Saccharomyces cerevisiae S288C: one gene and its partners. The gene in region 3 interacts genetically with the main gene of each other region. Each region holds a gene or a part of one and is shown on either strand. Other genes may lie near its edges.

Evidence for each region.
Region 1: mutations in MAG1 (region 3) and DFP2 together harm fitness more than expected from each alone (negative genetic interaction), as found in Saccharomyces cerevisiae (2 studies listed by BioGRID).
Region 2: of MAG1 (region 3) and REV1, changing one suppresses a phenotype caused by changing the other (phenotypic suppression), as found in Saccharomyces cerevisiae (one study listed by BioGRID).
Region 4: mutations in MAG1 (region 3) and ATF1 impair growth when combined (synthetic growth defect), as found in Saccharomyces cerevisiae (one study listed by BioGRID).

What each region holds. Positions count from the first base shown.
Region 1 is NC_001133.9:184,783-187,084, reverse strand, and holds DFP2 (DUP240 family protein), read right to left. Parts: upstream 765-2,302; coding exon 540-764; downstream 1-539. Other genes in the region: pheromone-regulated DUP240 family protein PRM9, read right to left, coding at 1-249; KTD1 (DUP240 family protein), read right to left, coding at 1,489-2,193.
Region 2 is NC_001147.6:980,269-985,354, forward strand, and holds REV1 (deoxycytidyl transferase), read left to right. Parts: upstream 1-1,559; coding exon 1,560-4,517; downstream 4,518-5,086. Other genes in the region: pyruvate kinase PYK2, read right to left, coding at 4,674-5,086. UniProt on the Saccharomyces cerevisiae protein: Deoxycytidyl transferase involved in DNA repair. Transfers a dCMP residue from dCTP to the 3'-end of a DNA primer in a template-dependent reaction.
Region 3 is NC_001137.3:454,574-457,764, reverse strand, and holds MAG1 (DNA-3-methyladenine glycosylase II), read left to right. Parts: upstream 1-1,728; coding exon 1,729-2,619; downstream 2,620-3,191. Other genes in the region: DDI1 (Ddi1p), read right to left, coding at 160-1,446; COX15 (Cox15p), read right to left, coding at 2,846-3,191. UniProt on the Saccharomyces cerevisiae protein: Hydrolysis of the deoxyribose N-glycosidic bond to excise 3-methyladenine or 7-methyladenine from the damaged DNA polymer formed by alkylation lesions.
Region 4 is NC_001147.6:1,044,281-1,048,315, forward strand, and holds ATF1 (alcohol O-acetyltransferase), read left to right. Parts: upstream 1-1,945; coding exon 1,946-3,523; downstream 3,524-4,035. Other genes in the region: YOR376W-A (uncharacterized protein), read left to right, coding at 916-1,071. UniProt on the Saccharomyces cerevisiae protein: Major alcohol O-acetyltransferase that uses acetyl-CoA to synthesize acetate esters from various alcohols, producing ethyl acetate, isoamyl acetate, isobutyl acetate, butyl acetate, hexyl acetate, heptyl acetate and octyl acetate.

The DNA of each region.
Region 1 (2,302 bases), on a different chromosome or scaffold from region 3:
ATATGCACTGGGTTCGTCGAGAAAATCCGACTTGGCGTCGGTACTTTCTGAAGATGTTTGCATGCCCAGTTTATATCTTGTCTTCTCTATAGCTCTGCTATGGTGTTGAAGGATGTTATGCGGATCAAAATAGCGATCTGTCTTATACCAATTGAAACTTTTCATCACCTGCTTTTTACTTCGGAGGCATTTTTCATTCAATACTAAGTTCCGGAATGATACAAAATAAAAATGGTATTGAGGCGACATAAGTTGTTAGCACAGCAAAGATGGTTGCGGGTTAAGTTTTCTGATCGTTCTGGGAGAGTATTTACGTTAAAAAATAGGAATCAATTAAGCATAATCATGCCGTTTTGTGTGCTACATATCTGTTTCCCACTATATAAAGTCACGTTAGAATGCAATTTATCTAATTTACTACCCCATTTTAGCGTCAGTGGATTGGTAAATCCCTTTGCTAGCAAGGTACTGTCAGAATATTTCTCCTTCCTTTCAAATAATTGCACCAATATCTTGCCAATACTTCACTTGAGATTGTTCTACAATATCCGCTGTCTTGGAAAGCAATTTTGAAAATCTTCTCCGGGATTTAATGTGAAAGATTCGCCAGCTTCAGTCTCCTGTACATTTTCCTCAGCGTTGCTTGTTGGCTTCTCGAAAGTTCTTCCCTCAATAAAACTTAGAAAAAGACGGTGGCAATCTTCTTCGCAATAAAAGTAGTAAGGAGTACTCCATATTTTATGGTCAAATAGATATTTATTCATCTTGTACGTGATAATGTTTCATTCCCCTTTCACCGAACGCTGGCGTGTGCTTACCTCTAACGAAAGCCTAATATTAGATGCTTTATTGTCGGTCTGTCCCGGAGATGAAAAAAGAGGATAGAAGGGACATGAGATGGTATACTCGGAAATTAGTCAGTGAAATCAAAATTACAGATGCCAGGAACATAATCATTATCGGCTTACAATGAGCCCCCTCGTAACACGTAAAGTGAATAACTTAAGTACGAATTGAACATGTCTTTGGGAAGGACCACATTTCCCTCAACTAAATTGGCACCATCTCCACTCAACACATCCAGTCTAATATTTTTATTTTGTGGTTGCGATTGCATACACGATTTGAGTACTAAATTTTTGACGAATGTAATACGGACCAAACAACAGCTTTTTTATTCACTAGTTATTCTTATAACTACAACACCAAACCCTTTTTGAGATCCTTTTTTTCTTTTTCTATTGTTTGGATTTTCTTGGCTGCATTATGCGAAGCGCAACAATAGAATGTGACAAAAACTGACAGAACCCTTATTAAACAAATATGAAAACCTCTAAAAAAACTTACAAATACGATAGTTGTAGGCCATGATGTTTGTACAGCTCGAATATATGATGCTCAATTCTGGCTTCGAGATGTTCTTGAATTCGATTCTTGTTCTCGTTTTAAAGAAAAGTAAGTATACTTGGTGAATAAAATGCTTCCGCTTCAAGGTAAATCAGCGTCAGGATATTGCTTTCTCCAGTATTCACTTTGAGCCTCCTTTTCTATTTGTGTTGCCTTCAAAACATATGCCATCAAAATAGGGTCTGATCTAATACTATAAAAGTTGTTTAGACCATTTGAAGTCTTCCCTGCTGAGACAGGTGATTGTGTATCCTCGGCACTATTCGATGAGGAATCCGAGTGCGAACCAGAATTCACTTCCTTGATAAGAGTGGTGAAGAACTCATGGCACTTCTTGCCGCTATAGAAATAGTACGGGGTATACCATAGTCTCTTCATGAATAGATATTGGTTCATATTATATGCGACAGTACCCCATTCCTTCCCCGCAGGCTTGCGTGCGATCACCTCCACTAAAAGCTTTATCATGAACTCCTGTTCAGTGATCGCTTTCCCGAATGTGAATGCTGCAACCACCATTAAAGCCATGGAGGCTACTATAAGGGACATCACTAAGATCACAGTGCACCCGTCGTTATCATGAAAAAGCACAATCAATGAGATCAAACTCACGATTATGATGATCATAAACATGATCGGTTTACAATGAGCAATTTCATAAAGTACATAACTCAGATGTGAACTGAATGTGTCTTCGGGAAGAGCTACATTCTCTTCGATTAAATGTGCACTGGGTTCGTCGAGAGTATCCATCTTTACGTCGGTATTTTCTGAAGGTGTTTGCATGGTCAATTGATATCTTGCCTTAATATGGCACTTATAGATGTTATCCTGATCAAAATAGCCAGCTGTTTTATGCTTTTTTAACGTTGTTCACCATTGTATTTATTATTTT
Region 2 (5,086 bases), on a different chromosome or scaffold from region 3:
GGTGAATGTTGAGATAATTGTTGGGATTCCATTGTTGATAAAGGCTATAATATTAGGTATACAGAATATACTAGAAGTTCTCCTCGAGGGTCTAGGAATCCCCATAATGGAATCTATATTTCTATATACCAATATTACGATTATTCCTCATTCCGTTTTATATGTTTCATTATCCTATTACATTATCAATCCTTGCACTTCAGCTTCCTCTAACTTCGATGACAGCTTCTCATAACTTGTGTCATCATCTTAACACCGTATATGATAATATATTGATAGTATAACTATTAGTTGATAGACGATAGTGGATTTTTATTCCAACAGTTCTCTTCAACCATTCGTTTTTGGGACTGAGGAAAATGAATATAAAATTATAATACTTCATCTTGAACTTTGAGAAATCACAAATTGTATGGGCGTGTGGTCTAGTGGAATGATTCTCGCTTTGGGCGATCCCCCTGATCAAACAGGAGGAACAAAGCATGCGAGAGGCCCTGGGTTCAATTCCCAGCTCGCCCCTTTTTTTGCAACTTCGTTTTAGACAGTTACTTAATTTTGTTTCTTAGGCACAACAATATTTATAAAAGAAGAATGTAAGTATGACGACGAAAACGAAAAGACTAATAGTTTCATATAATACTAAACGATTTCAATTTTCGTTTTATATCCTTCCTATTCATAAATTTTATTTCGCTATGCCAATAATGAGTGGATGTATAGTTGATATCTGTTTCGATAATTTTAAAGTAGATAGTAAAATCTTACTGACATGAATAATCCGTCCAAAACTAGATTACTGTATACAAGCATATTTAAAAAAATAATGAAACTATGATCAAAAAACTGTGCTACTACAGCGGTGTTGTTATCCGATACAACCGGATATTTTTCTTTTAATGAGTCTAAACCGTGATAGCTTCAGGTTAATACAATCAAAAAAAGCTCAAATATTCTTTTAATGCCGCGTTCACAGATTCCAATTGAATACAACTAGGTAGTTCATTATATGAAGCCTTTGCTACTATTTTTCACTATAGTCTGCCTTCACCTTAATGCAGACATCCACATATTTTAATCACTTTAAAATAAAAAGGAAGATATATTAGAAGCTATGATCCAATCTGTAAGCCAGATTAAAATTCACGAACTCTTCTTTCATTTGAATTGAATGCTTTGAGTTGGGGTAGATTATCGCAAATTACTCATCACATTTATTGACTACGAACTTGCTGATGTCCTTTTTTTATTTATATTTTTCTTCAGTGAAGCGATTTTTTTTTTACACAGACCAAGACGGAAAAAAGTAGCTAAGGAAGAAAACAAAATCATGAAAAAAATGTGAAGTGATCATGCACATCGCATCAACTTAAACATTGGCTTAGAGATATATAGAGTTAGAGTTTACGGCAACCTTTAAGCACCAATACCTTTTGGCATAGTCTAAAGACCTGGTTCTTAATTTTAAACAAATTTAACTAAAGATTTCCCTATCAAAGAAGTAACGAGTTGACAGATTTTCTCAAAATAAATCGATACTGCATTTCTAGGCATATCCAGCGATGGGTGAACATGGTGGTCTTGTAGATTTATTGGACAGCGATTTGGAATACTCTATAAATAGGGAAACACCTGATAAAAACAATTGCCTTAGCCAGCAAAGTGTCAATGATTCACATTTAACAGCAAAGACCGGCGGCTTGAATGCAAGGTCTTTTCTATCTACGTTAAGCGATGATTCCTTAATTGAATATGTCAACCAACTCTCCCAAACTAATAAGAATAATTCTAATCCAACTGCAGGTACTTTAAGATTTACTACTAAAAATATTAGCTGTGATGAATTACATGCTGATCTTGGCGGTGGCGAAGATTCACCTATAGCTCGTAGCGTCATCGAGATCCAGGAAAGTGATAGCAATGGTGATGATGTTAAAAAAAATACTGTGTATACTAGGGAGGCTTATTTCCACGAGAAGGCGCACGGACAAACCCTGCAAGATCAAATATTAAAAGATCAATATAAAGATCAAATTTCTAGTCAAAGCAGTAAAATATTCAAAAATTGCGTCATCTATATAAATGGCTACACCAAACCTGGAAGACTGCAATTACACGAGATGATAGTTTTACATGGCGGAAAATTTTTACACTATTTGTCTTCAAAGAAAACGGTTACTCACATAGTGGCTTCCAATTTACCATTAAAGAAAAGGATTGAATTTGCAAATTACAAAGTAGTCAGTCCGGATTGGATAGTTGATAGCGTCAAAGAAGCAAGATTATTGCCCTGGCAAAATTACTCGTTAACATCTAAACTTGATGAACAGCAAAAAAAACTAGATAATTGTAAAACCGTAAATTCAATTCCATTGCCCTCAGAGACTAGCCTGCACAAAGGATCTAAATGTGTAGGGTCGGCATTGTTGCCAGTAGAACAGCAGTCACCAGTAAATCTCAATAATTTGGAGGCGAAAAGGATAGTCGCTTGTGATGATCCTGATTTCCTTACTTCCTATTTTGCTCATTCGAGATTACATCATCTCTCCGCATGGAAGGCCAATCTGAAAGATAAATTTCTGAATGAAAACATCCACAAGTACACCAAAATTACGGATAAGGATACCTACATTATCTTTCATATCGATTTTGACTGTTTTTTTGCAACTGTTGCGTATCTATGTAGAAGTTCTAGTTTCTCAGCATGTGATTTTAAACGGGATCCTATAGTGGTATGCCATGGTACTAAAAACTCCGATATAGCTAGTTGCAATTATGTAGCAAGGTCATATGGGATTAAAAATGGAATGTGGGTGTCTCAAGCTGAAAAGATGTTGCCAAATGGGATCAAACTAATATCATTACCATATACCTTTGAGCAATTTCAATTAAAATCGGAAGCCTTTTACAGTACTCTCAAAAGATTGAACATATTCAATTTGATTTTACCTATATCTATTGATGAAGCTGTTTGTGTGAGGATAATCCCTGATAATATTCATAACACTAATACCTTAAATGCAAGACTGTGCGAAGAAATACGCCAAGAAATTTTTCAAGGAACGAATGGTTGCACAGTGAGCATTGGATGTTCCGATTCTCTTGTGTTAGCAAGACTAGCTCTCAAAATGGCGAAACCAAATGGTTACAATATCACGTTTAAGAGTAACCTATCTGAAGAATTCTGGTCTAGTTTCAAACTAGATGATCTGCCTGGAGTTGGGCATTCTACTCTGTCAAGGTTAGAATCAACGTTTGATAGCCCACATTCTTTAAATGACTTGAGAAAAAGATATACTTTAGATGCTTTGAAGGCGAGCGTCGGCTCTAAGTTAGGTATGAAGATTCATCTCGCGTTACAAGGCCAAGATGATGAAGAAAGCTTGAAAATACTGTACGATCCCAAAGAAGTCTTACAAAGAAAATCATTATCAATTGATATCAATTGGGGAATCAGATTTAAAAATATCACTCAGGTAGACTTGTTCATAGAAAGAGGTTGTCAGTATCTTTTAGAAAAATTGAATGAAATAAACAAAACAACGTCACAAATCACATTAAAACTGATGAGAAGATGTAAAGACGCTCCAATTGAACCCCCAAAATATATGGGGATGGGAAGGTGCGACTCATTCAGTCGGAGCAGCAGATTAGGTATTCCAACAAACGAATTTGGAATTATTGCTACCGAAATGAAAAGTTTGTATCGAACTTTGGGCTGCCCTCCAATGGAATTAAGAGGTCTTGCTCTACAATTCAACAAATTGGTTGATGTGGGTCCGGATAACAATCAGCTGAAACTGAGGTTACCGTTTAAAACAATAGTGACGAACAGAGCTTTCGAAGCCTTACCGGAAGATGTAAAAAATGACATTAACAACGAGTTCGAGAAAAGAAATTATAAGAGAAAAGAATCCGGGTTGACTTCAAACTCATTGAGCTCTAAAAAAAAAGGATTTGCCATTTCCAGATTAGAAGTAAATGATTTGCCCAGTACTATGGAAGAACAGTTTATGAATGAACTACCAACCCAAATTCGAGCAGAAGTAAGGCACGACTTGAGAATTCAGAAAAAAATCCAACAGACAAAGTTAGGAAACCTACAAGAAAAGATAAAAAGGAGAGAAGAGAGCCTACAGAACGAGAAAAATCATTTCATGGGCCAAAATAGTATATTCCAGCCGATCAAATTCCAAAATCTGACACGGTTCAAAAAAATTTGTCAATTAGTGAAACAATGGGTTGCCGAAACTTTAGGTGATGGAGGGCCGCATGAAAAAGATGTTAAATTATTCGTGAAATATTTGATTAAACTTTGCGATTCTAATAGAGTCCATTTAGTTCTTCATTTATCAAACCTAATATCAAGGGAATTAAATCTCTGCGCCTTTTTAAATCAGGATCATTCAGGCTTCCAAACGTGGGAAAGAATTTTACTCAATGATATAATTCCACTTTTAAACAGAAATAAACATACTTACCAGACTGTGCGTAAACTTGACATGGACTTTGAAGTTTGAATTAAAAAAAAAAAAACATTTCAGCATACAGTAAACACGCAGTTTGCGAACATTACCTGTAATATCTGCATGATTATTACCAAAGAAAAAAAAAATAACTGACACAATGGACAATTAAATAAAATTAAGTAAAAAAAATAAGGACTTTAATTTTTACTAGAATTCTTGACCAACAGTAGAAATGCGTAAGGTATTGGAATGGCCGACTCCTCCTTTGAATCCTTGAATGGAAACAACAGTATCACCGTTGTCCACCATTCCGAAAGACCTCGCCATTTCAACACCAAACTTTAGGCGCCTATGAACATCCTCACCCCAGTCGTCTAGGCGTTTCGGTTCATACAGAAATGGGAAAACACCTCTATACAAATGCGCAATTCTTGCCGTTCTTGCGTGTCTTGTTACTAATATGATAGGGCAGCTTGGTCTATACTTCGACAGTAGCCTTGCCGTGTTCCCTGTAGTAGATAATACAACGATGGCCTTACCATCTTGCTCCAAGATTGCTGCGGTAGCTGCAGCTGCTACAGTTTCCGTAGTGGAAGTAGGTTTGGGAGTGGCGTCTCTGA
Region 3 (3,191 bases):
GGCACAAATACAATCTGCATATTATATACTTAACAGAAGTACAATCATATACAATACAAACAACAATTGACGAAACAATGAAAGTATGTACATCCTTATACTTATCTATTTGTGTTATGGGCTACATACGTAGAGGCCGATCACAATATCAGTGGTTGCTCATTGGAAAAGGAGGGATGCAGCAAATTCTGCATTTCCGTTAGTCTGTTTAAGAGCCTTTACCACAGCATCCCTAGGGAAACCTAGATCCATAAGCTGTTTAATCGTTTGTTCGGGAAACGTTCTCCCGGTTGCCGTTGTAGCACCGGCTGTACTTCTTCCCGTAGGTGTTGGCCCCATACCAGTCCTTGGAGCAAGCGCAGGAACAGCCCCCGGTTGTGGTGGTAGAGTTGAACTAGTCTTGGTGGGTGTTAGGGGCTTATCAGACGAAGTTGTAACTGACGTTGGTGCTGGAAGTCCTTCTTGAAAACTTTTTGGGATTTCCGCTTCACTCAAAAAGCTTGTCTCCACTTCTGCTATCCTAAGAACGTTTTCCTTTAAGTCCACACAAGCCAAATGCCTTTTCAGCATGTCTAGTCCTATCAAAACATCGATGTCAGTATCTAAGACGGTAAAACTGCATGGAATATATTGTGTTTCTATTTTGACTTGGGCTTGGTGAATTCTCCCAATAATTTTGCCGGTTCCTACGCCACGAGCTTCTCCAATAAATCTCTTGTCAATCATTCTCGACAGGCCAGTTTTCTTCGCTAACCTGGTGGACATAATCGTTGTTTGAGCCCCTGTATCTACAAATGCCTTTACGGGGTAGTTATTTATTTCGATATTAATGTAAAGCATAGGGACCTGGGTAAACATTTCAGGTGTATATTCGATAGCATTGCGCAACTGTTCATCGATAGCTTGTTGGTCTAAAAGCTCTGCAATCCTCTTCTTGTTGTCAGGATCATCGGGGTTGGCCATTAGTCTAGTATATTCATCTTGGGGGATGCCAAAAGGATTCATGGCGGTGTTATAGCCACCATAACGTCTTTGTAATATGAGCGGGCCCAATCTTTCCCTAAACAACAGTGGGTCATTTACTAAATCATTCAATCCAGGGATTTGCAAAATGAGTTGTGATCTAAGCATTTGATTATTAAGTAGCTCTTGTCTAAATTGCTCTATGAACGCTTCGTCGGACAAAGTAGCAGCATCTGTTTGAATGGAATTGGAAATCTTACCCCTAATCAATAATAAGTCATCGGTTTTGAGCCCTAGTTCTTTTAAAGACTGAGTTCTGTTTGAGTCTAGAATGTCCATATTGTAATATAAGTCGTGTTTTGTTTTGTCAAACCCGCAATCGGCCTGCAGTAATGCTATTAGATCAGTTAAAGCCATATCTTCACTGACTTCAATTGGGCCGTATATCTCGCCAGTAAGTTCGTTTGAAATTGTTAAATCCATCTTTACGTATATTTTTGCTGTTATGTTTGGTATGTACTTTGTTAACTACGTTAAGTATACTTTCTTATTCGACCTACTTTATATATCATTTTGGTATTATTATCTTTTCGGTGGCGATGAATTTACAGGGCGGGGTGGCGACGGGAATTCTTACATAAAGTTTAAGTTATCTATGAATCAATGAGAATTGGCCACTGCCCTCTGATATGACGATGGAAGTGGTACTTTTCCTTTTTAATTTTTTACTGAGAATCAAGAGAAGCTAGAGAGGGATTGGTCTCAATGAAACTAAAAAGGGAGTATGATGAGTTAATAAAAGCAGACGCTGTTAAGGAAATAGCAAAAGAATTAGGGTCTCGACCTCTAGAGGTTGCTCTTCCTGAGAAATATATTGCTAGACATGAAGAAAAGTTCAATATGGCTTGCGAACACATTTTAGAGAAAGATCCATCACTTTTTCCCATACTTAAGAATAATGAATTTACGTTGTACTTGAAGGAGACTCAAGTCCCTAATACACTCGAAGATTATTTTATTAGGCTTGCAAGCACAATTTTGTCTCAACAGATCAGTGGCCAAGCAGCTGAAAGCATCAAGGCAAGGGTTGTCAGTCTTTATGGCGGTGCATTTCCTGATTACAAAATCCTTTTCGAAGACTTCAAAGACCCAGCAAAATGTGCAGAAATCGCAAAATGTGGATTGAGTAAAAGGAAAATGATATATCTAGAGTCTCTTGCTGTCTATTTTACTGAAAAATATAAGGATATCGAAAAGCTCTTCGGTCAAAAAGATAATGATGAGGAAGTGATTGAAAGTTTAGTTACGAATGTAAAAGGTATAGGCCCATGGAGTGCCAAAATGTTCTTGATCTCCGGATTGAAAAGAATGGATGTATTTGCTCCTGAAGATCTAGGTATTGCTAGGGGTTTTTCAAAATACCTTTCAGATAAGCCAGAATTGGAAAAAGAATTAATGCGTGAAAGAAAAGTAGTTAAAAAGAGTAAGATTAAGCATAAGAAATACAACTGGAAAATATATGACGACGACATAATGGAAAAATGCTCTGAAACATTTTCTCCGTATAGGTCTGTGTTTATGTTCATACTTTGGAGGCTCGCGAGCACAAATACAGATGCCATGATGAAGGCAGAAGAAAATTTCGTGAAATCCTAACTTAAAGATATCATGTATTACTGACATTTATATAAGAAAAAAAAAAATAAAAATAAATACACCCTATTGTTGTGTGTGATGCCTACTAAAGAAATTCATATTTACAGCTTCTCGTAGGGATACCAACATATAATAAGAAAAAGCCTCACACATACAATCCAACCATTGGAGCGACAAAGCGGAAAAGCGAGTATACTGTCAATTCTCATAAGAATACCTTTATCCATTATAATGGTTTCGAGGCTAACTTCGACGCTTCACTTAAAATTTTACCGCTAGTTACTTTGCTTGAATGTGGCAAGGTAATGATTACGTTTCTCATCGGAGCTCTTGGCTTCCTTAATTGAGAGGCAAACACCAAAGAACTTGTTAGCAACGCCAAAGCACCAGCTTGATGGATAGAAGCTAACGATATTGGGACTAGGTACAATATAGTTAAAATACCAAGTGTTGCTTGTAAAGTAACGACGCCCATCATAACATGCAAAGAGGTCATCGCGTTCCTTGGAATTACGGCCTTCTTTTTGATAGCGTACATATGAGCAGCTAGTACTGATGTAAACGCAACGTAC
Region 4 (4,035 bases), on a different chromosome or scaffold from region 3:
ACGTTTCCAATCATTAGCCGTTCCTCTAGACATCTACAGATCTATTCCTAATCACAACCTATCTCTAGCCGCAAGATATATCTGTGTGAGAGGGGTCGCAACAGGAATACCTTAAATGGGATAACCGTCACGTGACTCTCACTAGGGGCATCAAGTGCGCTGCTTCTTCAAGGTTTTCGCGCCCTGTTTGAAGAAGTGGCACAGAATCCATAGAGTAATATTACTAACGAGCTACGAAACTTAGCTTACCTATTAAATACTCAAAGAAAATACGCTGTGTATGCTTTTGCGGCACATCTATGTCATTAAATCTCTCCATGGCGCGTATATTTTATGACGGGAAATCTGAGGCCGATCGAGGAGGGAAATTACTAGAAAAGCTTATCCTTCTTTACCTCCGAACAAATTTTAAAATATACCTCAATGGGAATAAAGAATGCAAGGAAAGGCAAGGTTCAGCCTATGATGATGAATATCGTACTCTAAAATTATAGATATCTAACTGTGGGCGTATTAAACCTTGCTTTGGTCATTATCCAATCGTGTATGCAGAGAGCGGGGCGATATGCAGCAAACAAAAGGGGCGAAATAATAGTTACTCCAAAGATGAAATGGCAGAAGAAAATGGAAAACTATACAGTTTGCGAAGGAGGCATCCTCTTAGTTAAAAAAAAATTTGGACTCATTGCACTGCAAACAGAGTTTCTAGGATTGTCATATTTTGTACCTCCTGGAATGTTAAGACTTTCTCATTAATAATGGTGTGATACACTTATAGTTGGGTGCTAAAAGGTAACTGCAAGCCCCACATCTATAATATTACCGTTAAGTTTCCGGCGAATAGTTTCTCTTTTCGCCCCTCTATTTCTCCCTTCAAATGTGAAGATAAGGAGGACAGCCATAAATATTCCTGTAATGACATTCCATCTTGGGTGGACAATTTTATGGTATAATCAAGCGTATTTAGAAGTTTGGGCGACAGTATTTCAAGACGAGATGCATAAGTATTCTCTTCATCCTCAATCCCGCGATGCTAAAACAAAGTTTTGTTGTTGCATTCCATTTAAGTAGAGCAAAAGCGTGGCAAATCTGAAAAATTGCCACATAGGGTGCTAAATTTGGTATAATGGCACAAATAAACAATCTCAGTTTACTGACAGTGAACTACAGGAATATACAATTTTGAGGTGTTAACGACCAACCGTTAATAGCTTATTCTCTCATATGTTATACCACTGTAGGAAGAGGTGGTTTCAACTGTATTTTGAGCACAGGTAGATATAAGCTCTGGACAGTTTTGCTACCCCTTGAAAGAATTCAACAGTATTTTCTGAGGTACTCATCGTAAAAGATTGCTAATTTTGGTCGCGATGTATATAGGTAAAGGAGTATTTCCTAAAAGTTGCCAAAGATTATCAAAATATTACCGTGTTTATAAAATAAACTGACACCCGGATAATTAAGAAGTGGTAAGCTTATGTTAGAGTACTTGTACTTGACAAGTAAAATCAGAATTGGGAATTATCAATTGAGATCACGTGCAAACCGAAGAAATGCAAAGAAGTAAGGTTAGGGTTTATGGACCCAGGCAGCAGAAAATTGTAGCTTCATTTGTTGGCACAGGACTATTCCACCCTTAGAATTGACTTTTTGGACATTGAGCTAAGGTTCAATGCACTCGATGGTCTTCTCACTTCCGAATATATAGATCTAGCGTGTGAGGACTACTCATTGGCTTGCGATTTACGGTTTTTATATTTTTTGCCGCACATCATTTTTTGGCCTGGTATTGTCATCGCGTTGAGCGGACTCTGAATATAATCCTATTGTTTTTTATGGATCTCTGGAAGCGTCTTTTTGAAGCCAACCCAACAAAAATTCGAGACAAGAAAATAAAAAACGGCACTTCATCAGTATCACAAATACCATCAATTTATCAGCTCTCATGAATGAAATCGATGAGAAAAATCAGGCCCCCGTGCAACAAGAATGCCTGAAAGAGATGATTCAGAATGGGCATGCTCGGCGTATGGGATCTGTTGAAGATCTGTATGTTGCTCTCAACAGACAAAACTTATATCGAAACTTCTGCACATATGGAGAATTGAGTGATTACTGTACTAGGGATCAGCTCACATTAGCTTTGAGGGAAATCTGCCTGAAAAATCCAACTCTTTTACATATTGTTCTACCAACAAGATGGCCAAATCATGAAAATTATTATCGCAGTTCCGAATACTATTCACGGCCACATCCAGTGCATGATTATATTTCAGTATTACAAGAATTGAAACTGAGTGGTGTGGTTCTCAATGAACAACCTGAGTACAGTGCAGTAATGAAGCAAATATTAGAAGAATTCAAAAATAGTAAGGGTTCCTATACTGCAAAAATTTTTAAACTTACTACCACTTTGACTATTCCTTACTTTGGACCAACAGGACCGAGTTGGCGGCTAATTTGTCTTCCAGAAGAGCACACAGAAAAGTGGAAAAAATTTATCTTTGTATCTAATCATTGCATGTCTGATGGTCGGTCTTCGATCCACTTTTTTCATGATTTAAGAGACGAATTAAATAATATTAAAACTCCACCAAAAAAATTAGATTACATTTTCAAGTACGAGGAGGATTACCAATTATTGAGGAAACTTCCAGAACCGATCGAAAAGGTGATAGACTTTAGACCACCGTACTTGTTTATTCCGAAGTCACTTCTTTCGGGTTTCATCTACAATCATTTGAGATTTTCTTCAAAAGGTGTCTGTATGAGAATGGATGATGTGGAAAAAACCGATGATGTTGTCACCGAGATCATCAATATTTCACCAACAGAATTTCAAGCGATTAAAGCAAATATTAAATCAAATATCCAAGGTAAGTGTACTATCACTCCGTTTTTACATGTTTGTTGGTTTGTATCTCTTCATAAATGGGGTAAATTTTTCAAACCATTGAACTTCGAATGGCTTACGGATATTTTTATCCCCGCAGATTGCCGCTCACAACTACCAGATGATGATGAAATGAGACAGATGTACAGATATGGCGCTAACGTTGGATTTATTGACTTCACCCCCTGGATAAGCGAATTTGACATGAATGATAACAAAGAAAATTTTTGGCCACTTATTGAGCACTACCATGAAGTAATTTCGGAAGCTTTAAGAAATAAAAAGCATCTCCATGGCTTAGGGTTCAATATACAAGGCTTCGTTCAAAAATATGTGAACATTGACAAGGTAATGTGCGATCGTGCCATCGGGAAAAGACGCGGAGGTACATTGTTAAGCAATGTAGGTCTGTTTAATCAGTTAGAGGAGCCCGATGCCAAATATTCTATATGCGATTTGGCATTTGGCCAATTTCAAGGATCCTGGCACCAAGCATTTTCCTTGGGTGTTTGTTCGACTAATGTAAAGGGGATGAATATTGTTGTTGCTTCAACAAAGAATGTTGTTGGTAGTCAAGAATCTCTCGAAGAGCTTTGCTCCATTTACAAAGCTCTCCTTTTAGGCCCTTAGATCTCACATGATGCTTGACTGATATTATTCGACAATATGATTATGTCGTGTAAATAACCCACTTTCATGTTGTCACTCCCTCGGCTTTGGTTGGTTAAAGGGACTTATCGGTTTCTTTTTTTAGAGTTGATTTAAGATCAGATCGAAGTAAATAACGTGCAGAACATTGCATATGATAGATAACAACCTATAGTATATATTTCAAAATCGCGACAAATCTGAAATATTAATTGATTTGATTAGCTGCAGAGATCTTCTCGATGTAAGGAGCTATTTAAATAGAAAGGGTCAGAATCGTCGTCCTGTGGGAGCTGGTATATACTAAATTGATGAACAACTAAAATAGCACTCTCATTGTCATTTTGGGTGTGAGACCTTAAGCAAGGAGAGATATTTTTAATGGATGTATTAGCGCAGCCGTTGCTTACGGTATTCCTTGGCATATTGTCCCTGAAAAAAAACCGTTGTACACTCGGATACGCATTTTTCGGACTTCTCCCACCCAAGAAACG